Linked DNA regions of Ovis aries. Each later gene encodes a partner of the first gene's protein in a complex. Links are inferred from orthologs where the notes say so. Each region holds a gene or a part of one and is shown in the gene's direction. Other genes may lie near its edges. The genes, in order: PRPF38A, ZMAT2, SF3B3, SMU1, IK and MFAP1.

What was found.
Region 2: PRPF38A (region 1) and ZMAT2 share a complex: the UniProt entries of both Homo sapiens proteins name them as parts of the spliceosome B complex. The link is inferred for Ovis aries from reciprocal best matches to the Homo sapiens genes PRPF38A and ZMAT2.
Region 3: PRPF38A (region 1) and SF3B3 share a complex: the UniProt entries of both Homo sapiens proteins name them as parts of the spliceosome B complex. The link is inferred for Ovis aries from reciprocal best matches to the Homo sapiens genes PRPF38A and SF3B3.
Region 4: PRPF38A (region 1) and SMU1 share a complex: the UniProt entries of both Homo sapiens proteins name them as parts of the spliceosome B complex. The link is inferred for Ovis aries from reciprocal best matches to the Homo sapiens genes PRPF38A and SMU1.
Region 5: PRPF38A (region 1) and IK share a complex: the UniProt entries of both Homo sapiens proteins name them as parts of the spliceosome B complex. The link is inferred for Ovis aries from reciprocal best matches to the Homo sapiens genes PRPF38A and IK.
Region 6: the proteins of PRPF38A (region 1) and MFAP1 are in contact, whole or in part, in a crystal structure (PDB 5F5S), measured with the Homo sapiens proteins. The link is inferred for Ovis aries from reciprocal best matches to the Homo sapiens genes PRPF38A and MFAP1. Residues at the interface, in NP_116253.2 of Homo sapiens: Tyr124, Asn125, Tyr127, Lys129, His143, Asp145, Glu146, Asp149, His153, Tyr169, Val170, Glu172; in NP_005917.2 of Homo sapiens: Glu275, Tyr276, Trp279, Arg282, Glu283, Arg286, Arg289, Asp290, Arg294, Leu297, Glu298, Lys301.

The regions. Positions count from the first base shown.
Region 1 is NC_056054.1:26,803,042-26,807,321, forward strand, and holds the start of PRPF38A (pre-mRNA-splicing factor 38A), read left to right. Parts: upstream 1-1,480; 5' UTR 1,481-1,500; coding exon 1,501-1,630; intron 1,631-3,439; coding exon 3,440-3,599; intron 3,600-4,280. UniProt on the Homo sapiens protein: Involved in pre-mRNA splicing as a component of the spliceosome.
Region 2 is NC_056058.1:49,485,641-49,489,819, forward strand, and holds the start of ZMAT2 (zinc finger matrin-type protein 2), read left to right. Parts: upstream 1-1,379; 5' UTR 1,380-1,393; coding exon 1,394-1,411; intron 1,412-1,744; coding exon 1,745-1,838; intron 1,839-2,778; coding exon 2,779-2,902; intron 2,903-4,101; coding exon 4,102-4,175; intron 4,176-4,179. UniProt on the Homo sapiens protein: Involved in pre-mRNA splicing as a component of the spliceosome.
Region 3 is NC_056067.1:1,088,206-1,091,705, reverse strand, and holds part of SF3B3 (splicing factor 3B subunit 3), read left to right. Parts: intron 1-281; coding exon 282-437; intron 438-974; coding exon 975-1,118; intron 1,119-3,254; coding exon 3,255-3,377; intron 3,378-3,500. UniProt on the Homo sapiens protein: Component of the 17S U2 SnRNP complex of the spliceosome, a large ribonucleoprotein complex that removes introns from transcribed pre-mRNAs.
Region 4 is NC_056055.1:38,076,462-38,080,433, forward strand, and holds the start of SMU1 (WD40 repeat-containing protein SMU1), read left to right. Parts: upstream 1-1,172; 5' UTR 1,173-1,252; coding exon 1,253-1,278; intron 1,279-3,972. UniProt on the Homo sapiens protein: Involved in pre-mRNA splicing as a component of the spliceosome. Regulates alternative splicing of the HSPG2 pre-mRNA. Required for normal accumulation of IK.
Region 5 is NC_056058.1:49,453,081-49,455,989, forward strand, and holds the end of IK (protein Red), read left to right. Parts: intron 1-421; coding exon 422-479; intron 480-1,552; coding exon 1,553-1,641; intron 1,642-1,821; coding exon 1,822-1,930; intron 1,931-2,102; coding exon 2,103-2,137; intron 2,138-2,221; coding exon 2,222-2,249; 3' UTR 2,250-2,409; downstream 2,410-2,909. UniProt on the Homo sapiens protein: Involved in pre-mRNA splicing as a component of the spliceosome. Auxiliary spliceosomal protein that regulates selection of alternative splice sites in a small set of target pre-mRNA species. Required for normal mitotic cell cycle progression.
Region 6 is NC_056071.1:53,265,322-53,269,499, reverse strand, and holds the start of MFAP1 (microfibrillar-associated protein 1), read left to right. Parts: upstream 1-1,378; 5' UTR 1,379-1,517; coding exon 1,518-1,596; intron 1,597-4,178. UniProt on the Homo sapiens protein: Involved in pre-mRNA splicing as a component of the spliceosome.

The DNA.
Region 1 (4,280 bases):
CGCGCTCCCTGCAGTAGAAGCACCAAGTCTTACCCACTGGACTGCCAGGAAAGTCCTTCCCCACTCCCTTAACCCTTTGCATTTATTCATACGGGACAGTGGTTTTTTTCTTGGTTTTGTTTTTTAATACTTTGATGAATGTTATGAAACAGAATTCACACAAAATTCTGCGTTTAATTTCAAGGAATTCAGAAACCTTCTGAAGTTGCATATTGCCCTGTTACATTAAAAACTGTTGCAAAGGGACTTGATGAACATGATCTCGCCCCAGAAACCTTCCAAAACAGCAGGGAAGAGGGTACCACTTTTACAGACAACCAAAATAGAAAACTACCATATCTAATTATTGCAATTTGGCAGATAGCCCAAGATAAGAATCTTGCATCTCATTTCTCTAAGTCCAGTGCTTTTTCCAATTTGCCAGAAGAGAAGGCCCTTCTATTTCGGGGTTAGACTAGAGAAAGTAAAAGAGGTGCCACTGCAGTTAAGAGCAGCTCGTCTAGGGGAAAAAAAAAGATCTGAGTAGGAGCTCAGGCCCCTTAGTCACGGAAAGGGACTTAAGACTAGTCTCTTTTTCCCTCTGGGAGCAATAGCGACATCCACATCGAGTAGTAACTTCTGCTGCTCCGCTTCCCTGTGGTGCTTGTTACACTACCCTAAAAGAAAGATGCGATTGCTTCCCACGGGCCATGTGGATATAAGGTTCATATGACTCAGGTCAATACTGATAGTCTTAAGGAGCTGAGGACAGGAGTGTTCACGCTTCCTTCTCCGCTGTTGGCTTCCGGTTTCCCACTGCAAGATCGCAATCCCCGGCAGAGGCAGAAAGCTGTTAGAAATCGCCATGTGGAAAGTAAGACGCTCCTAATGCACTTAGAACAGTGCCTGGCATTTAACAGGCGTTTAGTACATATCTGCTGAATGGATTTATGGCTGAATCAGTCCGCAGAGAACAAATTCCACAGTCCCGCGGCTCAGGTCCCTCTCCAGCCTGGGACGTCACACTCACCGGGCGCCAAAGTTTGTTGGAGCTGGGCGCAAGCCTCCTTCCAGCGTCCCCGCTTCAGGAGCTCGTGGAACTGCAGCAAATCTACCTGCCCCAGGGGCACTCTTCTTATAGCTGCCAGGCGCGCAACAACGCCGAAACGGAAGCCTCGCTAGGAATGGAAAGAAGGTGGAGAAAAGGAAATTTCGCGCCAAACGCCGTAGCCCCGCCCCCAGGGTGTCTCCACGTTCCGTCAGCAGCCAGCCCTTCCGCCCCGCCCATCTAAGGAGGGACGCACGACGTACATCCGCCGAAGGGCCGCGGCCATCATTGATTAGGTTTGCGAAGCCGTTCGCCGAAGAAAGTTCCTAACTCGAAAACATTTCCGGGTTCAAGATGCACGCTCGAACCGTTTAGTGAGACTTCCTCCAACCTCATCATTTCTCTCTGGTTTTTTTAACGTGGATGTGACGTCTTAAAGGACCCGACGGAAATAGAACGTCAGGCGTTCTAAAATGGCGAACCGTACGGTAAAAGATGCGCACAGCATCCACGGCACCAACCCTCAGTATCTGGTGGAGAAAATCATTCGGACGCGAATTTATGAGTCCAAATACTGGAAAGAGGAGTGCTTTGGACTTACAGGTGAGCAAGAGCGTGCGGAACACCCCCCATCCCCGCCCCAACCCCTGTCGTCCCGTGGCCCAGTTTTCCGGAGTAGTACAATAGGACTGGCCCACTGGGGGTGAGATTTAGGGGGAATTTTTCAGTCATTCGGAAGAATCTGAGCGCCTACTCTGTGCCTAGTGTTGTGTTGGGCTTTGGGAACACAGATAGATGTGATAGGACCTTATTCGGAAGGGTGTCACACGTCGTTTCTTTGAGGCATTCCATAGTTAATGATAACTTACTGGGTTCCCGGAGAAGGCGATGTCACCCCACTCCAGTACTCTTGCCTGGAAAATCCCATGGACGGAGGAGCCTGGTAGGCTGCAGTCCACGGGGTCGCGGAGAGTCGGACAGGACTGAGCGACTTCCCTTTCACGTTTCACTTTCACGCATTGGAGAAGAAAATGGCAACCCACTCCAGTGTTCTTGCCTGGAGAATCCCAGGGACGGGGGAGACTGGTGGGCTGCCGTCTATGGGGTCGCACAGAGTCGGACACGACTGAAGTGACTTAGTAGTAGTAGTAGTAGTAGTAGTAGTAGTAGTAGTAGTAGTAGTAGTAGTGTTAACCCTGAAGGTCTTAAAGGAGCGTCAGTATTCCCGAAACCAAATTTATAATCTTACCAAATCTGGACCATTTGCAATATTTCACATTCCCAGTCCTAATATAAATATATGTTTTTAAGAGAAATCTTCCAGGTCGTCTTTGATACTCGGTTTAATTCTGGCTTTTTTTTGGTACCTGTGTTTCCCCCGTGAACCATTAGTTCATCTACTGTAAACCGAGCACAATAATACCCACATCAGAGGTCAACGGATTAAATGATTTAACCCAAGAAATCTAACGATTAAATGAAATAAAGTGTAAGAAGTGTTGGGTATATAGTTACAGCTTGTTCAGTCGCTAAGTAGTGTCAGACTCTTGTGACCCCCCTGGGCCGTAGCCTGCCGGGCTCTCTCTCCTCCACTGTCTGCCAGAGTTTGCTCAAATTCATGTCCATTGAGTCGGTGATGCTATGTATATTTAGCTACAGCCATATATTAATAAAAGTACTCAGTAATCAGTGGTGATAGTGGCGCAGGTTGTTACCACTGCTACTTACTCCTGTGCTGTTACTGCTCTGCCATCACCCTAGCTGTGTATCCACGGCAGAGCCATATTGGTTTTCAGAGTCGCCATTAAATTTTGGAGTCATGTAAGATTTACTTTGGGGGCCTTTTCTCATTCCAGAGGTGAAATGACTTGCCCTCGTTCACAAAACTGGTGTCTGATTTTGATGACAACATCGAGAAGTTATCCCTGTTGTCTAGATGAACTTAAGAGTTACATAGTTGAGGAGTGGTTTGTTACAGTTTTCCTCCTTCTAACTCTTATTTAATCTGGCAGTTTTTCCTCTAACATGATGGTGACAAGCACAGACTCTGAAGTCAGACTTCTTGGACTAAAATCCAGGCCCTGCCACTTTCTGGCTGTGAATCTTGAGCAAATCATTTAACCTTTCTTAGCCCTCATTTTCCTTAGCTGAAAACAAGGGCAGTGCTGGAACTTAAGCTCATGACTTGTGAAGATTAAATGAGATAGTATGAAGTGCTTAGCAGAGTGCTTGGCATATAATAATCTCTCAGTGTGTATTGGCTGCTGTTATTTATTGCACACTTGTTCTCCTAATATTAAGCTGTTAATTCAGGAGCACCAAATTTTGAACTAACTTTAACTCTCTGCACTTCAAACCTGTAAAAGCTTAGTCTTAATATGTCTGCAATGCCACTCTGTTTTTGTTTTTTAGCTGAACTTGTAGTCGATAAAGCTATGGAGTTAAGATTTGTGGGTGGTGTCTATGGTGGCAACATAAAGCCAACTCCTTTTTTGTGTTTAACCTTGAAGATGCTTCAGATTCAACCTGAGAAGGACATCATTGTAGAGTTTATAAAAAATGAAGATTTCAAGTGAGTAAAATATTTACTAGCTAATATAAATATTTTAATTTCATGGTCCAGAATTTGGCTTTGGTTAAAAGAAGTGAAACAGTGTATCCCATTTCCAAAGTCCCACTCTGGTATTTTGTTCCTGCGCCCCTTGAGTTTTTGTTTTGTCTGTTTTGATTGTATTAACCTTCTTTACTTTCTGAACCTTGGTGACTTTTCTTCCAAAAAAGTATTTCACAAAACTCACTGACATATATTAAGCAGAAGTTAATGCCAAATATGTTGGTAGCACTGAATACTTAAGGATGAAGAAAGCAACATAAAGTGTGGTGAAGAAGAGGGAGACGTTTGTGTTAATTGTAGGTTCATGTCCAGACCCTATTACCTATGAACTGTGACCTTGGAGAAGTTACTTAATTTTCTAAATTTTACTTTCTTTACCTGTAAAATGGAAACAATAATACCAACTCAGGATAGATGTGAGGATTAAGGAAGAAAGAGCTGTAAATCTCTATCGGTGCCTGTTGCATGGTATCTGGCCCCAAAATATAAGCTGTTTGAGGAGCTCACAGATGAGAACAGGAGACAGATGTAATAATAGATTATTATTGCCAATCTCTATTCTAAGAAATTTACATGCAATAATTTATTTAACCTCCACAACTACCCTGTAAAATTATTATCCCCATTATGTAGGGGATG
Region 2 (4,179 bases), on another chromosome or scaffold:
TTGCTGTCAGCAAGTTTCTTGGAAAGTCACCTCAGATTGAGAGGATTCTGAACCATTGAGATCAAAAGTCAAATATTTAGCCTTCCACTATGGCTTCTGGAAAGTTTGTCCAAAACCTAGTCATGGGCTGTTCAGGGAGTTTTGGGGAGACAGCAAGGACGGGAAATGACTTCTTTCTGTTTTGTTTGAGAACAGAGATGCTATCCTAAGGGCATTGCACTGCCCATATTGATGTGACATCTCTCTAGCCCATCCACTGTTAATAATAACAGGGTGAGCCTGTTTGTTTAATAATCTTGAATGTTGAACTTAATAGGTGACCTGACAAGATGGAGATATGTTTTTGGGGCCCATTACCTGTGCCGGAATCACTTCTCTGACTTCTGTGTCCTGCCATGGAGGTAGCTGTTCTTGAAGTGGTTGTATAATATATTAAATAAAATTTTAATGGAGTAGTTTGAGTAATTGTTATCAAGGGGTTGGTTTGCGTAGGCCATGGAAAACCCTAGAGTGTACACGGGAGGATTCTGTGAACTAGGAGTTATCTCCCTGGGGTGATGTTTCTGTATTGAGTGAAGGAAGTGACCACAGTTCCCTCTTCCCCCAACTTAGAGATAAAGTCACACCACTGAATCAGTGTATAGTGAGACATCTGCTAGAGTTCTTCACGGGAGTGTTGTTGATACCCAACTTCCCAAGTCCGATCATGTTGTTTAAACTGTGCCCTATGGAGTTGGTGATGGAGAGGGAAGCCTGGCGTGCTGTGATTCATGGGGTCGCAAAGAGTCGGACACGACTGAGCGACTGAACTGAACTGAAACTGATGGATTGAATGACCCTAATGTACTCAGCTGGAGGAAAAATGAGTGAACCAAAGGGTGGTAGCATTGCTTCAAGATAAAGAGACAAACTGTAAAAAGCGATTTGTATTTGTGTGTTGGGAAGGCTGCAATCTTTTCAGGAAAGTGCTCTGAGCCCGTATTTTTAGTGCTTGCGGTGAATCACTAAAGTGAAGCATTTGAGACCGTATAACAGCGCTTCAGCCTTAAATGTTTGGAAACTCCTGGAATGCACGCAAGTTTATTAGACTAGATCAGAGAGCACTGATCTGAATCTTATTTTCCTCTTGTTAAGATGAGTTGAATCTGCCTGTTTTGAAAGCCAGGACGAAAACGTTTGCAGGCGCCCTTACTTCCGTGTTGCTTCATACTTCCCTTACGCATGCGCCATTTCCTTGGCGCGGAGGCGGGGCTGACAATCCTGTTTTCGAAGCCCTCCAGTTCTTCGCTCGTTTAGAACACGAGACTCTAAGCTGATTGGAGGCAAGCTTGCTTTACGGCTCAAGGCCGCTTTTTACGGCATTTTCCGGCTTCCCATTCACTTCGCAGTGAAGATGGCGTCAGGCAGTGGGGTAGGTGTTGTGTGTGAGGAGGCTTGGAGTCGCGGGTAGAGGGTGGCTTCTCGGCGTTGAATATTCCACACCCAACTGGCTTCCCGACGCCTCTTCGCAACATAATGGCTCCAGTTCAAGAGCTCCCCAGTGAGGCTCTCGCGCAGGGTCTGTGGAATCGGGGAGGGCTCGGGTTGGGGTCCTGAGGTAACCTTAGCCTCCTGGTGGTGTCCGGAGAGGCTTCACTCTCTTCAGGTCCTGGGCCGCCTTGGCAGCGTGGACGCGGTTTCTTCAGTTTTTCCAGGAGTTGGACACGATTAGCGGCGAATCTTAAGCGCATTTTTCTTCCCCCAGACAAAAAACTTGGACTTTCGCCGAAAGTGGGACAAAGATGAATATGAGAAGCTCGCCGAGAAGAGGCTCACGGAAGAGAGAGAAAAGAAGGATGGTGGGTACTTGCTTAGTTAAGTGCTAACTGTGTTGTAGAGGCGATGCAGTGGTTGGAGAGTGAGTGGGTGGGGAGTTGAAATGCGCTGTCCTCCATACTTCTGTAATATCTGGCAGAGTATTCCCTCCCTAGTTCTCGATTTCTTCAGATATAAGGTGAAAGCGAGATGGATTGAAGTGCTTTTGAGGTGCTTTCCAGCTCTGTGATTTTCGGGTTCCTTGCTCTGCCTTTGCTTGGCTCATTTAGTACTTTCCTCCGGTACGGAGAAGAGATTGGAATCCTTAGTAGCGACAGGAGGAGGAGTATTTCGCTGCTGTGTGTTAACTACTATTGAAGAGCCTCTTTTTCTCTCAGCAGGAAACATGGTATTATTTAACCTAGCGTCTAGGACTGTTCTCTGTGCGATAGACAGTGTCAGGGAGTTGGTGCTCCTCTTCTAGAGATTCCACTATGTAGAAAAAAATATCTTCCTTTCTCATCTGTTTTCAAACCATACATTCTTCTGCCTTCTTCCACACCAGGTTACACACTCTAAACCTTTTAGTTTTTATGTAACTTGTATAATAGTGCTTGGCATGCAACAGATTATTTCCCAAATATTGGTCTCCCTTTTAAGAGTAGTCTTGCTGTTCTTTTAAAAGGTTGCTTTTTGTGCAGATTCACAACTCTTGCCTTCAGTTAATTAATGCATTTAAAAAATTGCTTTTAGATTCTTTGGCTTTAAAGTGGAGAAAAGATGTAGAGAGTTAAGAATTGCTTGTCATTTTTTTGTGTTGAGCTTCTCCTTAGCTGCTGCTACAAGTGACTGTTGTGTCCTTTGCTTCATGTTTCACAAAAGAAATGAAAGTAGACCTCTGGATTTTGGACTTTATGCATTTCTTTTCCTTTCTGGTTAAGGAACTCTAATAATGAAGGGACTTCCTTCCCCATTATATTTCAGGAAAACCAGTGCAGCCAGTTAAGCGAGAGCTTCTCCGGCATAGGGACTACAAGGTGGACCTGGAATCCAAACTCGGAAAGACAATTGTCATTACCAAGACTACCCCACAGTCTGAGATGGGAGGGTGAGTGGCTTTTCATCTTTCTCTGCAGCCAGGAAATGTTACGCTCAGTACCTGCCCCCAGAATAACAACCTTGTTTCCTGTAATTCCATCCATTTCCCTCCAGGGTCTCTAGTTAACATGTCTGTAAGAGGGGGTTACTCTGTAGGCTTCTTCATATTAGCACTATATCTACTTCTTAATATTTTAAAAGGGATTATTTGTTCTCCTTCCAAAGGAAGAAATGAAGGAAAGGACTACTCAGGAGATTTCTAGGGGAGAAATTAGGTGCAACTAAAATGGAGCCCAGAAAATGTTGACCATGAATAAAGGGAGTTGAGGTTCAAGACTGGCTACAGAAGTTGTAGTTATGTATTTTCTGGTTGTGCACCTTCCTCCTAGACCCTTACTTTTAGGAAGAAAGGTCTCACAAGAACTCTTCATCTTTTTGCCTAACACTACTACTCTGTCTAGGTGTGTTTTCCAGCAGGAGCATAACACAGATAACAATAAGTGACACTTCTCTGAGCTGCTTCTCTGAGTAAACTCACTGTTAACTTTCCTCTTTGTGTTAGTTATCTATTGCTATTTGTGTTAATACATTAACCCAGTATTAGCAGCATAAAACAAAGAATAGCTCACAATATCTCACATGGGTAAGTAATATGGAAAAGGCTTATCTAAGTAGTTCTGGCTCAGGGTCTCTCACAAAGCTGACATCAGGGTGTCTGCTGGGTCTGCATTCATCCGAGGTGTAAGTGGGGCTGGAGGATCTTTGTCCAAACTGTGTCACGTGACTGTGATTTGGAGGCCTCAGTTCTGTGCTGTATGGGCCACTCCATAGTGCTGCTCACAACAAAGCAAGTGGCTTCCCCAGAGTAGGTGATCTACATGAACAGACTAAGCAGAATGCATGTTTTTTTAAAAAAACCTAATCTTGGAAGTGACGTAGCATTACTTTTGATATAATTTATTGATCATATGGACTAACCCTGGTACAAATTGGGAAGGGCCTATATAGGGTAGGAATATAGGTGGCATCAATGTGGGGGCCATCTTGGAGGCTGGAAGCCACACTCTTCTAAGAGCAAAGGCTTTGTGGAAATGAGAAGTGTCTCCTCTAAAAAGAATTTTTACCTAAATATTATCAGTTTCTTGGCTGAAAACGATAAAATCTTTATAAGCAAATTTGAAGCTAGTGTTGTTTCTTTTTGTTTTCTAGGTACTACTGCAATGTCTGTGACTGTGTGGTGAAAGACTCCATTAACTTCTTGGATCACATTAATGGAAAGAAACGTAA
Region 3 (3,500 bases), on another chromosome or scaffold:
AACAGTGATATATTTTCATTTCCTAAAAGTTAGGTTGGCTTAGGAAATTTGGTGCATTATGCTTGTCAAAGGTCTCTTTATTATCTTGTCAGTAATTTTGCTTGCCATTAGCCTGTAGAGTTCAGTCTTGGAAACTCAAGTTGAGAAATTTTTGCTCGTCGATGATAGAGTGAGAGGAAGCAAAAAAGAACTTATTTAGCAAGCCCCCTTTCTTCTCCAGGCTCGGGAGTTGGGGACGGGGTGGCGTGGTCTGTGACCTCTCCCTGTCTTCAATCCTGTAGTCGGGACAGCTGAACGAGTACACGGAGCGGAAGGAGATGTCGGCGGATGTGGTGTGCATGAGCCTGGCCAATGTGCCCCCTGGGGAGCAGCGGTCTCGCTTTCTGGCTGTGGGGCTGGTGGACAACACTGTCAGGATCATCTCCTTGGACCCCTCGGTGAGTGTCACCCTCCATTTCAAGGATCTTCCAGTTGGAACCTGAGCACCCGGCCCATTCTTGATGTCCCTCTCTGAGATCAGCTGGGCTGGGCCCTGAATCTAGACTTCTGCTGCTTCTGATTATTGTAGCAGCACACCTCATGAATCGCCTGCAGTGCTTTAAAAGGACTGATCCAAGACTACTAAATGTGTCTTTGGCTTAAGTCCTGATTCCCTTTTTTAGTTTAAACGAACGAAAACAAAATCCAAGACTGTGTTTACAGAAAAGAGCCTTAGATGACTCTAAAGAGGTACCCTTTGCTTATTTAGTTTTACCATTCTCCACTTCTACAAAAAAGAGAAAGCCCAATCCTCTCCAGAGCTTGTTTTAAGGTTTAGTTCTCTAGTGACCCCGTACCTGTTGAGAACTCATTCTTCAGGTTTTCCATGTCCATGAAAAAGAGCTGTTCTTCACTTCTAAGAATTAGATTTTTCTGGGTAGGTTTTTTTCCAGAGTTGGTCACTTGCCGTATTCTGTTTTCTCTTTCCACTTTAGGACTGTTTACAGCCTTTGAGCATGCAGGCTCTCCCGGCCCAGCCCGAGTCCTTGTGTATTGTGGAAATGGGTGGGACCGAGAAGCAGGATGAGCTGGGGGAGAGAGGCTCTATTGGCTTCTTGTACCTGAATATTGGACTCCAGGTAAGAGGTCCAGAAACCCTCACTCCTGGGGTCAGGGCGTCTTTTCTCCATGGCTGCTTTGTGTAACGCAGGTGTTTTCTGTGCCTGTGTGTTAGTTACCCGCCTTGTGAGAAGGGATCAGTTTTGCTCTCTGTTCCACTTGTTTTAGCTCTAATTTAGAAGAAATCAGGGCTGGAAAAAAGTATTTTCTAGAGTCTGATAAAACTGCTTAGCAGTGACTGTTTTGGGACAGAGCTATATTGCCTCTGGTTTCCACAGTTTGCAGTTGTGAGACTGTAATCCAGTTGTCCCTCAGTGTCCTTGGGGTTGGTTCCAGGATCTCTCTTGGATACCAAAATCAGAAGATACTCAAGTCCCTTATATAAGATGGCATAATGTTTGTATTTTTTCGTAACCTTTAATTAAATCATCTCTAGATTACTTAATTGCCTAATACAAGGTAAATGCTGTATAAATAGTTGCTGTACATGTGCAGCCAATTCAAGTTTAGTTTTTTGGCATTTTCTGCTTTTGTTCCCCCTGAAATATTTTTGATCTGTGGTTGGTTGAATTGTGGATTCGAAATCCAAGGATACAGAGGGCCTCACAGTTCATGATGGGCTCCGTTAGCAGTAAAGGGCTCCTCGGTGTACCCTGTTGTCAAAGCACCTAGGCTCTTCATGGCATGAAAGGCAGGAACCCAAGAATCAGAGAGTATCAGGGGTTTTGACCATATCCTTTTTTTTTTTTTTCGCCTAGCCCAGGAGACTGTTTGGTTTTTAATTTTACTTCCTAATTTAGAAATTCTCAAACATGCCCAGGAGTTAGACTAACGAAATGCACCTCCATGCACCCATCACCAGTTACCAGCATTTTGCCTTTCCCTTCTCTTCTCTTTAAGGCAGATCCAATTTAGTGTCATCTATAAGGGCTTGAGAACGTAGCTATAACAGAGGAGTGCGTGTGTGTGTGTTTTGAAGCTCTAATATTATGGTTAACAGAATGTAAGTTCCTTAGTATCATCTGATACCCCCATATTCTCATTTTCTCCCTTTTTTATCCTGTTCTGGAAAAAGTTTTTACTTTTGGTTCTACTCAGAATGCATAAAACTGTCCAGTTTTTATCTGCTTAATCTTCTCACATTATTTTATTTCATTATTTATTTGACTGTGTCAGGCCTTAGTTGAAGCATGTGGGATCTTGTTCCCTGATCAGGGATTGAAACCGGGCCCCCTGCGTCAGGAGCACAGTCTCAGCCACTGGACCACCAGGAAGCCCTCACATTTCTTTTAATAACTGTCTCAACTTGTTAAAAAGAAACCAGATCATTGTTCTTGGGGACCTTCCTACTTCCCATCCTGCGCCTGTGCTGGCCTCCCAGAAAATCACAGCGCGATTCTTCCTCATCCCCAGGGCGGAGCGTGTGTTCCTGATTCTGGATGGTGCATCCAGTTTACTGCCTCTGCTGTGGGGGCTGCATCACAGCCTTCAAACCTGAGTTCTTGGATAAACACTTCACTTTTCCCCCTTTGTTCACTATTTTTAGAGTAAGAGGTTGGTGCCATCGCAGTCTCCAGTGAAGACTGCTGAAATGCTTTTTATTTTAATTTTAGATAACATTTGCAGGTTTTTATATTTACATCAGACTATCACAGTCTTTCTTTTAGAAGCTAAGTTGCCACAATATAGAAAAGTGGGAATTTTCCTTCTGAAGTTGCCTCCTTTGTCCATTTAACAGGTGCCTACTATCTTTGGGGGCTTCCTCCTAGCACAAGAAAGTACTCCACACACATCTAGAACATTTTTGCTTCAGACTGGAATAAGGCATTTCTCTCAGGAATCTTTTATTTTTTTAAGGGAAGTGGTATTTAGAGACCACAATAGGCATGGGTATGTTAAACTGTACATGTATCTTAAAATTGTAAAGGGTCTAACATAAAGGGTAAAAAATTTTAAGGATATACGGTAAAAGGAAACTGCTTTTCACTTAGTAAATGCTCAGTAACTATTTGAGTGAGTGGTTTAGGAAAATGAATGAATGGCTGGCTGATGACTATATATTTAAACCGCCCAGTCATTTTCTTCCAACTGAAATAGGGTAGCTAAAGAAGCTTCCATTATGGGTAGGCCTTAACCACCTCTCTCATTTTTATTAGAATGGTGTGTTGCTGAGAACTGTCCTGGACCCTGTCACTGGGGACCTGTCTGACACCCGCACTAGGTACCTGGGGTCCCGTCCTGTGAAACTGTTTCGTGTCCGGATGCAAGGCCAGGAGGCAGTAAGTAATGAAAGGGGCAGAATGTGTGTGTGGATATTAGTGGCATCAGCTGAGCCCTGTGGTGTAAATCTTGCTGTCAGTAATTCACCAGTGTTGTAGTTAGTTAGTTGGACATTAGCTTTA
Region 4 (3,972 bases), on another chromosome or scaffold:
AGAAGTTCAGTGGACTTCTGATAACGTCTAATTTCACGGAGTGTCCCAGTACCAAGCCTGTAACGATGTGGTTCATTCACCTCTCCAGTAGAGGGCGCACTCTTGAGAGCGGCTTTTGTAGCAAGTTGCTTCCTCGGTGCTTTACCACCGGTCGATTTGCCGGTAGTCTGCTTTGTACGAGCCACGGTATAGAGACCTCCTTACTTACCCACCTTCTCCTTCGGCTGGAGCTCCGAGAGCCAGAAGAGGCGCTGGCGTTGGAGAGCGACGGCGGCGCGGTGGTGGCTGCGAATACAACTCAGGATTGATGCTTTTGAACTGCGGTGTTGAAGACTCTTGAGAGTCCCTTGGTCTGCAAGGAGATCAAACCAGTCAATCCTAGAGGAAATCGGCCCTTAATATTCATTAGAAGGATTGATGCTGAGGCGGAAGCTCCAATACTTTGGCCACCTGTTGTGAAGAACTGACTCACTGGAGAAGTTCTTGAGGCTGGTCTTGAGATTGAAGGCAGAGAAGAAGCGGACGACAGAGGATGAGATGGTTGGATGGCATCACCGACTCGATGGACATGAGTTTGAGCAAGCTCTGGGAATTGGTGATGGACAAGGAACCCTGGCATGCAGCAGTCCATGGGGTTGCAGAGTCAGATACGACTGAGCAACTGAACTGTACTGATACATACGTACCCTCCCTCTTGAATCTCCCTCCGACTTCCCACCCCATCCCACCCATCTAGGTTGTCACAGAGCACTGGGTTGAGCTCCCTGAGTCATACAGCAAATTCCCACTAGCTATCTGTTTTGTTTATGGTAATATATATGATTCTCCTGTACTCTCAATTCATCCCACCCTCTCCTTCCCCCACTCTGTCCAAAAGTCTGTTCTCTATGTCTGTCAGCCCTATCTTTAAATCTAAACTAAGTAAAAATTTAAAAGGCAACATTTAGAAACCAGTCCTTTAAGAACGACTCTTTCTTTAGAGAGAATGAAGAATTCTCTGGACCAGGCACTTAGGTTCAGACTTCTGAAACGCCCTCGAAGCTCCGCCCTGCACCGCCCTGCGTGCAAGCCCCGCCCAGCACTGCCCCGCCCCACACGTAGTCCTCCCTCCTCTTCCGTACACACGGCCTCCGGAGCGAGGGGGCTCGACGTCGAGCGGAAGTGACGTACGTGAGTCGCCGGAGGTGGCGTTGGTGCGTTGTGCGGCTGGGCCTGAGAGTGGAGTGGGGCCTGCGCCCGGAAAGACAGCGCTATGTCGATCGAAATCGAGTCCTCCGAGTGAGTCTCGTGGTGTCGGATGTTCGCGAAGTGGCCGGGCCGGGAGTCGATGAGTTGAGGGGTAGAAGCTGCTCGAGGGAGGCGTCCCAGAGGTTGGGAGTGGAGGGGTATTTACTTCCCCACAAAGAAGCTTTTGGGATCTGACTGCTTCAGGGGCGGGCCCGCAAGAAAGTAGCGAACGGAAAGCCCAAAGCCTGGTGGAAAGCGGCGCGGGGCTAGGGGTAGGACGTGCCTGCAAAACCTGAGTTCTAGCCCTCGCCGACTCCTGATGCGCCCTGAGACTGAGCAGATTAGCCATCCAGTCAGGACTCCGGTCTCATCTGCACAAGGGGGCTGCACTCTTAGCCTTCCCTCTCTTCCTGCCCCCATTGAGCACGGTGGTTTGTTTCCTCCCCTGTGCTTACACGGCCCTCTGTTTTTTTCTGCCTAGCTCTTAATCTGGTATTGTCACCGTTTGCCCACCCTTCTAGCCTATGTCGGCGCCTAGGGGCTGCTTTTCATCACAGTCTCAGTTCCTAGTACATCGTAGAGGCTCAGTAATTGTCTTTGGAATGAAAGCTACTTGTTTTATCAGGTTCCGTGTGGCGCTGAATTTTGGTTGGCCCGTGAGCTTTGTGTAGCCACAAGGGAGGGACAGAATGTGGAAACTGGGCCAGGAGAATGATAGATTTGGGGGAGAGGGGTACTAATGAGTGACTGAAGAAAGTCTTCAGTGAACTTTTCCAGGACTCCATCCTCTACTTGCTCTTGCCAACGCTTAATAATTAAATTGGCAGATTTTACATTTGCATCATGAGTGTAAGGGAGGGATCTGCCATAGGAGGAAGGGAGGTTTATTCATTCAGAAAATATTGAAGTCTGCTGTGTACCTGCTCTAGCCCTGGGAATATGGTAGTGAATGAAGCAGACCAAAGTCCTTGCCCTTACAGAAAGGAAGGAAAACAGCAGTAAGTAAAATAGGCTTACAGATGGTGGTAAGTGTTGTGGAGAAAAGTAAAACAAAGAAGGATGATGGAGAGTGCTGGCGATGAAGACAGCTAGGAGTTGGCAGGAGTTGGAAAGCATTCCATACTTCAGACCCTGAATCAAAAATGGGAACAGATCATTCTCCCAGCCCTGAGCTGCTGCATGTTTTTTATTATCAGTAATTGCTGTGTTTATTAAGTATTTTCTCTGTTAGCCACGCTGTAAGCAGTGTCATCTTCTCTTTGATCAGCCCTACAGACTGATTTGTATACCCTACAGAGTAGGTATTTTTCTTAACAGATGAGGAAATAGGCAAAGAGACGTTAACTGACTTGTCCAAAGTCACAGTAAGTGCAGAGCTCTGATTCAAATCCCAATCTCTGATTCAAATCTCCAAAACTTTTAACTCTTATGTATTACACAAAGAAGAAAGTGAATTTGATTTTGGCTCTAGAAAATACGAGTTCTTTGCAAGCATGGTGTCTCATTTGTGGAGTATAAATGGAAGTGTGCTGTTGGGAACAGTGTGGTGCTAGAACAGCAGGGATCCAAGCTGGGGTCTCTTAACGGCCTGTGAAAGAAAAGACCACTGTGAGTAGCAGTATTCAGTTCCCTTCTGCAAGAACTGTTTTTAAGAAGAGGGGGTTTGCTCTCCTATCCGGGCTATTGGAAGGACTAATGCTGCAGCTCCAATACTTTGGCCACCTATGGAAAGAGCTGACTCATTAGAAAAGACTCTGGTGCTGAGAAGGATTGAAGGCAGGAGGTGGAAGGGATGAGAGAGGGCAAGGTGGTTGGATGGCATCACTGACTCAATGGGCATGAGTTTGAGCAAGCTCTAGGAGAAGGTGAAAGACAGGGAAGCCTGGTGTGCTGCAGTCCACGGGTTCGCAGTGTCAGACACGACCGAGTGACTGACAACAACAAAATATGCTCACATGCCACACTGCCCGTTTGAATCTTCCTTTTTCCACTTAGCTCTGTTTCCTGGCCAAATCCTCATCTGTAAAATGGACCTAAGAGTAAATGCCATCCTCATAGGGTTGTTTTGAGGAGTAGCTGAGTCGGAAATGCTTAGAACAGTACCTGATATATTGTGAACACTGGTCAAGTAAACATTGGTCATTGTTTTTTGATTATTGTTTCTCTCCCGGGAAAGAGAATAGACTAAATTCCAATTTGAAATCTCTTCCAATCTGGACAGTGTGACCCCTGATACTCATGCTGTCCAGTAGAAGTATGCATGAGCCATATGTGTACTTCAAAGGCAAGAGAAGAACAGTGTAGTATAGCAATGTACATGAGCTTTTACTGTCTATATGAAAAATTATTCACCAAACTCCTTAATACTAAGCCAGAGATCAAGAAGTTTTAATTGAATATATATTTAACTTGTAAGTTTTCTGTCATATGCTGAAAATTGTTGCTTGTTCTCTCAGTATTTGGAGATTGTCTGGGTTCTCTTTCCCTTGGGAAAGTGTATTCACATGTTTTTATTTCACTTGTCCTGAAATTTTGGTAATAATGGCAGTGGGTAGGTGTTATTTTTGTGAGGACACATAACTTTGTTTTGAATTTACATCTAATATAGCTCTACTTATTTATGTTCAACAAATCCCTGTTAAAATGGTCTCAATTCATATTTTTTTTGCTGTCATTTAAAAATGGACCAAACCATTCAGTCATTTAGAGTATTCTGTATCAGTGACTAGACTAGGTTTAAAACGT
Region 5 (2,909 bases), on another chromosome or scaffold:
CTACTCTCTAGTTGCAGTAGCTTTTCCTGTTGTGGAGCTCAGGTTCAATAGTTGGGACACGCAAACTTAGTTGCCTACCTGCATGCGGAATCTTTCCAGATCAGGAATTGAACTTGTTCCCCTGCACTGGTGGGTGGATTGCTAAGCAGTGGACTACCAGGGCAGTCCCGAGACTCTATTGAAGAAGGTGGACTGGGATGATCGGAGAATAAGTTTGGGGGTAGTAGCAGTGATGTGGAAATTTGACTTGGTGGAACCCAGGGGTACTTCTTACTAGATAAAGTATTCTGTTAGGCTCTGTGTGGGAGGCCTAGGAGGGATGGCTATTCCTAGGCATATAGTCTCTTAGTAGGTAGGTTTCTGAATGAATCATAGGAGTCTGGAAATCCACCATCTCTTTTAAACTGTTGCTTCTTTTTAGGATGGATGACATGGCTGTGGACAGTGATGAGGAGGTGGATTATAGCAAAATGGACCAGGTGTGGAGCTGGAAGAATGGGTGGGGGCAGTTACTGTTTAACACATATCCCATTTTCTCCTCCCAAAAGATCTGTCATTTCCTGAGGCTCATCTTCCATTAGCTGGAGTAGTAGGAGCAGTGGCATTGTGGGTCTTGGGCAGCTTAAGTGTTTTAAAGCGTCACGACTAAGTCAAATGAGATAGGGCCAAGAATATGTTTCTTTTTATTTTCTATAAAGTGCCAGGCTTTGAATTCCATCTTGGGCAGTAAGCAGGCCTTTAGTGCACATGTAGAAAAGGGCAGAAGGAATTTCAGTTTTTAGAAAATAACTGGCAGTGGGAGGTGGGAGGGGGATTCAGGATTGGGAACTTGTATACACCCTTGGTGGATTCATGTCAGTGTATGGCAAAACCAATACAGTATTGTAAAATAAAAATAAAATTAAAAAAAAAGAAAATAACTGGCAGGAGAAAAAGGAAAATAACTTGAGTTTTATTATAGCCAGGATTGATATTTCCTCTAAGCCTTAAACAAACACCAATAAGGGTGAAGAAGTGTCATCTTTTTCCTTGTTTTCTCTGTACTTTTGTGCTTAACAGCATGGTCTCATTCTGTTTTGGAGCCTTGCTTAACCCTGGCTCTGCTAGGTATTAGTGTTGTGACCATGTCAAATTATGTTACTGCTTATTCTTCAGTTTCCTCATTAGGAAAATGGAGAGAACTCTTAAGTTCTCTCAGAACAGTTTCTGAGAGAATTAAATAAGGTACATGTTAAATGTGCAGAATAATATCTGGCCCATAGGAGTGAGTGAAGTGAAAGTCGCTCAGTTGTGCGACTCTTTGCGACCTCATGGACTATACAGTCCATGGAATTCTCCAGGCTGGAATACTAGAGTAGGTAGCCTTTCCGTTCTGCATTGGATCTTCCCAACCCATAGTAAGTACATAGTAAACACTTCTTATTAAGGTAGGATTTATTAATGATAAAACCTGGGATTATGGGAGAGCCTGGCTTTAATCAAGGGCTAAAATTTGATTTCCACTGACAACTCTTCCTTCCCTGCCCCCCCCCCCCATTCTGTCCTGCAACAGGGTAACAAGAAAGGTCCTTTAGGCCGCTGGGACTTTGACACCCAGGAGGAATATAGCGAGTATATGAACAACAAGGAGGCTTTGCCCAAGTGAGTCTTGGTACTAAATACAGCCAAGTGTGAGGAGAGGGATGGTGGGTGGTGAGAGGGTGTAGTCTGGCTGAAACATTACAAAATCAGTTCTCTGCTCATAGGTCCTCTGGGAACACCTTGCTACTGCTCTGTAACCTCTGATGCCTCCTTCCCTCAACTCCCCTTTTTTCCCTTCAGAGCTGCATTCCAGTATGGCATCAAGATGTCTGAAGGGCGGAAAACCAGGCGCTTCAAGGAAACCAATGACAAAGCAGAGCTTGATCGCCAGTGGAAAAAGATTAGTGCGGTAAGTGGGACTGGTTCTGGGTGGGAGGGCCTGAGCTGGGAAGACATACTTGCCCACAGATTCAGGAACCAGGCAAGGGGTTGGAGAGCCATGGAAGTAGGAGAGAGGTCAGCCTTGGGTTTCAGGTGAGCTTAGAATGGCAGTCTATCAACTATAACTGTTGTTCTTGCAGATCATTGAGAAGAGGAAGAAGATGGAAGCTGATGGGTGAGCAGCATTATTTTTCCTCTGTGGGACTGGTGAGAATTGCTTAGTATATTGATCTTATGTTCATTTCTCCTTCTATTGCAGAGTTGAAGTGAAAAGACCAAAATACTAAAATCTCTGGTTCCAACTCCAAGAATAATCTCCACAAGGATTTACTCCCCACTGCTTGCTTTATACAATTCCAAAAAAAAAGTTGAAAGATTTTTTTGTGTGTGAATGTGTATAAATTTTATTGTATAATGTTTTGATCCCATTAAAGTTGGTTAACCTGCTGTCTTATCTTATGTATGTTGAGGGCCCAGGTACACCAAGAAGTCTTCTAATCCCACTGATTGTATAAAAATCACATGGAAGTCAGCTCAGTCCTTTGCTGAGCTGTGCTTCTGTTAATAGATTCCTAAGCAATATATATAGTAGCCAGGATACCCAGTGGAGAAGGGACGATTGACCCTCACTGATAAGCACAGAAAAACAAAGATGATTGGTCTTAAATAGCAGACTCATCTGGGGACCTAGTCTTAGGGTAGAGGTTCTCTGGGACTTAGGGTTAGCCCAGTGAGCTGCCAGTCTGATCCCAAGGTTGTGCATGACTGGGTTCTAGGTGAAGGCACTTGATGAGAAACACTCCTGGGAACAAAAAACCTTTCACACAGATTTATGCCTTGTGGGGATCCTCAGTAATTCCAAGCAGAAATCACTGCTTATTGGGTTGGAGGGGAAGTGAGGAATCCCTCACTTGAGGAATCCCTGTCCTAGCTAAGAGGGGTTTGGT
Region 6 (4,178 bases), on another chromosome or scaffold:
CCTCGGGATAGCATAATTTTGGAGCTGATAAATTTACAATACAAATTTCTATCAACTCTATTTTTACAGTCCTTCGTAGCTCAAAACTTGTGTCCTGCACTGTTCTTTGATTGAGACTTGCCCAATTTTATTTCTTCTCCCAGCTGAGGCCCAACTGTAGAACAGGTGAAACCACTTGAGAAGTAATGCTACTAACAGTACCTTCAGGAAAGTTCCCTTCAGCAATTTTTCACTCCTGGACTCAAAAATTACTGATAAAATCACTTTTCACAGCGCCTGATATATGCCATATTTCTGGACTTCAAGACTTTGCTCACATTGTCCCTTCTCTCCGTACACAGCAGTTATAAAATCTTTTCTACAGCGTTCTGCCAACTAGCCTGTTTTTTGTTTTTGTTTTTAAACACGATCCACCTAGAAAATGGGGGCTATTTGTTCCTATTCTATTATAAACCCTTTCGGTTCAGTTCAGTCGCTCAGTCGTATCCGACTGTTTGCGACCCCATGAATTGCAGCACGCCAGGCCTCCCATTGCTGCTGCTGTTGCTAAGTCACTTCAGTCGTGTCCGACTCTGTGCGACCCCATGGACTGCAGCCTACCAGGCTTCTCCATCCATGGGATTTTCCAGGCAAAGAGTACTGGAGTGGGGTGGCATTGCCTTCTCCGGGCCTCCCATTAAGACTTACTAAATAAAATTCAAGTTCCTGGAGGACACGAGCCTTTTAACAATATTCCATACTCCTTAGAGAGATCTAAGTGATGTAAACACCAGTGCTTAATAATTACTTACGGACTCATATACAAACACTCCAGCCAGGAATATGTTATAATAGGCAGTCTCCAGAAACGGACAGAACTGGAACGCTTAATAGTGTTCGGATCTCAGACACTATTCTAAGCTGCTTGGGGGATTTTTTTTTTCTTGCCACTGGCCTAAATTACCACCACTTGCCCTCAAGTGACCAAAAAATACCTCACCACAATCCGCTCAGCCTCATCAACTGAGCTAATCAAGTGCTGTTAACGGGATTTCTATTCCGATTAAACTCTGAGCTTTCAAATTTGACAATCTTTACAAACTGCAGTTCATTATCTCCTGAGTTTCATTATTCATCACTACCCTGTAATAGTCGGGTTTAGACCAACCTAACGAACAAAACCTTTACTTGAGACTTCCCTCGTCGCAGGGTCTTAACAGCAAATCCCAGTGGAACCAACTTCCCGCGGGGAAGACGCGTACAAGCACTGCGAGACTGAGAACACCGGGGCAGCCTATGGACATGCGCAGTAACAGACTCCACCTTCTAGTCGTAGGCGTCTAGAAGTCCTCCACAATCCCACAATCCTCTGGTCGTATACTTCCGGTTTTTCTAGCTCAGTCGAAGGTGGTGTTTCTATCAGTCGCGGAGCAGTTTCAAGTGGTCCTAGGAGGAGAGGGTTTTATCTGTTCGTTGACGTTGTAGCTGTTCACTTTGAAATCAGTCGAGTTTCGGGAGTCACCGCCGCTGTCGTCAACATGTCGGTCCCAAGCTCACTCATGAAACAACCGCCCATTCAGTCAACGGCTGGGGCCGTCCCGGTTCGCAATGAGAAAGGTACTGTGTTGAGCGGTTTTCCAGTCGGATCTTATCTCTTTCGTCAGGATATTCCAAACTTACCCCGGGTCCACCACCTTATCCCCAGAGATCCTTAAGACCCTGCCCCTATTTCTTCGACTTCCCCGTCAAACTCGGATCCGATCGCGTTGCTACTTAGAACTCATCTCCTTAGTAGAACCTGTGTGCTCTCTCGTCCACCAATAAGTTAAGCTAATATAGTGAATGCCTGCTATTTGCATGGCTTTGTGTAGCATACATTTTGTTGTCCATTGTCTGTTTATGGTGCTTTTATAACTCGTATGATTGTAATTACTTGTCCACCTCCGTCTACTACATCGTAAATCAATAACCTATTTGAGGCAAGAACTCTATCTTAAAACTTTTTATCCCTTTCAGCCATCGCAGTGACTGTATTTGTTACATTGAATACAAAATGGTGTAAAACAGTGGTGTAAGGAACTCATAGTCTGTAGATGTGAGACATGCAAAAAAGAGGCACATTCTGAACAAATTTATGGTCTTTCCCACCTATAAAACCTGTCACATAGGTGATATAAACGAAATGCTTTGGGAGGACAGAGAAGGAATAATCTCTTCAGATTGGAATATTTAACTTGATCTTTAAAGGATGGGTAGGATTCTAATGAGTGCAGATGGACGAAGGAAAACTGTACTTGTTTGGGGAGTCAGACTGAAAGTCTGAGTTTTTTCAGTAAAGTATTTGGAAAATAATGTCAGTTCTTTTTATCTTTTAAATATACAGTATCTATCTTTGTGCATTCTGCCTTTTGTTGTTGTTTTTTCCTTAAGTCAGCATGACTTTGGTAAGTGTCCTTTGGATACCTGAAGATCTCATTCATTCACTTTAACTGCTTGTTTCGTCGCTAAGTCCTGTCTGACTCTGGGACTCCATGGGACTGTAACCCACCAGGTTCCTCTGTCCTTGGGATTTCCCAGGCAAGATTACTGGAGTGGGTTACCATTTCCTTCTCCAGGGGATCTTCCCTACCCAGGGATAGAACTGGTGTCTCCTTCATTGGCAGGTGGATTCTTAACCTCTGAGCCACCAGGGAAGCCCCTTTACCTGCTTATAAGTTCCATTGTATAATTAAACCACAGTTTGATCCCTGTTGAGGGACATTTAGTTGTCATTTTGTTACTTTTTTCCCTTTTACAAATAGTGCTTAAATATGTCTCTTTAGTGCACTTGTGTAAAAATTTCTACTAGGGTAGTGTGAATCTACGTTGACACATCATTTATCATTCAGTCCGTAGTTTGCATTAAGATTCACTCTGATGTACATTCTATGGATTTGAACAAATGTATCGGGATATATATCCATCATTATGGTATCACACAGTATTTTCACTTAGTAATATGCATTTTAAGTTTCCTGCATGTATTTTCATGGCTTGATAGCTCTTTTTGTTTTGTTGTTGCTGAGTAATATTCCATCATCTGGATGTACCATAGTTTACTTATCCATTCACCTCTGTGAAGGACAGCTTGGTTGCTTACAAGTTTTGGCAATTATGAACAAAGCTACAATCGATATCCATGTGCGGGTTTTTGTGTTTTGCTCCTTTGTATAAATACCAAAGAGCGGAAATGAGATCATATGGTAAGAGTATGCTTAGTTTTGTATGAAACCACCAAACCATCTTCCAAAGTGGTTGTGCCATTTTGCACTCCCACCCACAATAAATCAGAGTTCCTGTTGCTCCACATTCTTACCAGCATTTGGTATTGTCAGAGCTCTAGATTTTGGCCATTCTGTGTGTAGCAACATCTCATTGTTGTTTTTTTTTTTTTAATTTGCATTCCCTGAAGACATATAAGGGCTTCCCAGGTGGCTCAGTGGTTTAAAAAAATTACTGCCAATGAAGAAAACAAAGGTTTGATCCCTTGGTGAGGAAGAGGCCCTGGAGGAGGAAATGGCAGCTCACTCCAGTATTCTTGCCTGGAGAATCCCCATGGACAGAGGAGCCTGGCGGGCTACAGTCCATGGGGTCGCAGAGTCGGACACGACTAAGCCACAGAGCATGCACGAAGACACAAAATGTGGACCATCTTTTCACATACTTATTTGCCATCTGTATATCTTCTTTGGCAAGGTGTCTGTTAAGGTCTTTTACCTCACCTTGTTCTTCAGAATTGTCTTGGCTCTTTTTGACCTCCTGTTCTTCCATATGATTTTAGAATCAGCCTGAGAACAGCTTTTAATGAAATTACATTAAAATTATAGAGCACAGGTCAGTTCAGTCGCTCAGTCGTGTCCGACTCTTTGCAACCCCATGAATCACAGCACGCCAGGCTTCCCTGTCCATCACCATCTCCTGGCGTTCACTCAGACTCATGTCCATCAAGTCCGTGATGCCATCCAGCCATCTCATCCTCTGTCGTCCCCTTCTCCTCCTGCCCCCAATCCCTCCCAGCATCAGAGTCTTTTCCAATGAGTCAGCTCTTCACATGAGGTGGCCAAAGTACTGGAGCTTCAGCTTTAGCATCATTCCTTCCAAAAGAAATCCCAGGGCTGATCTCCTTCAGAATGGACTGGTTGGATCTCCTTGCAGTCCAA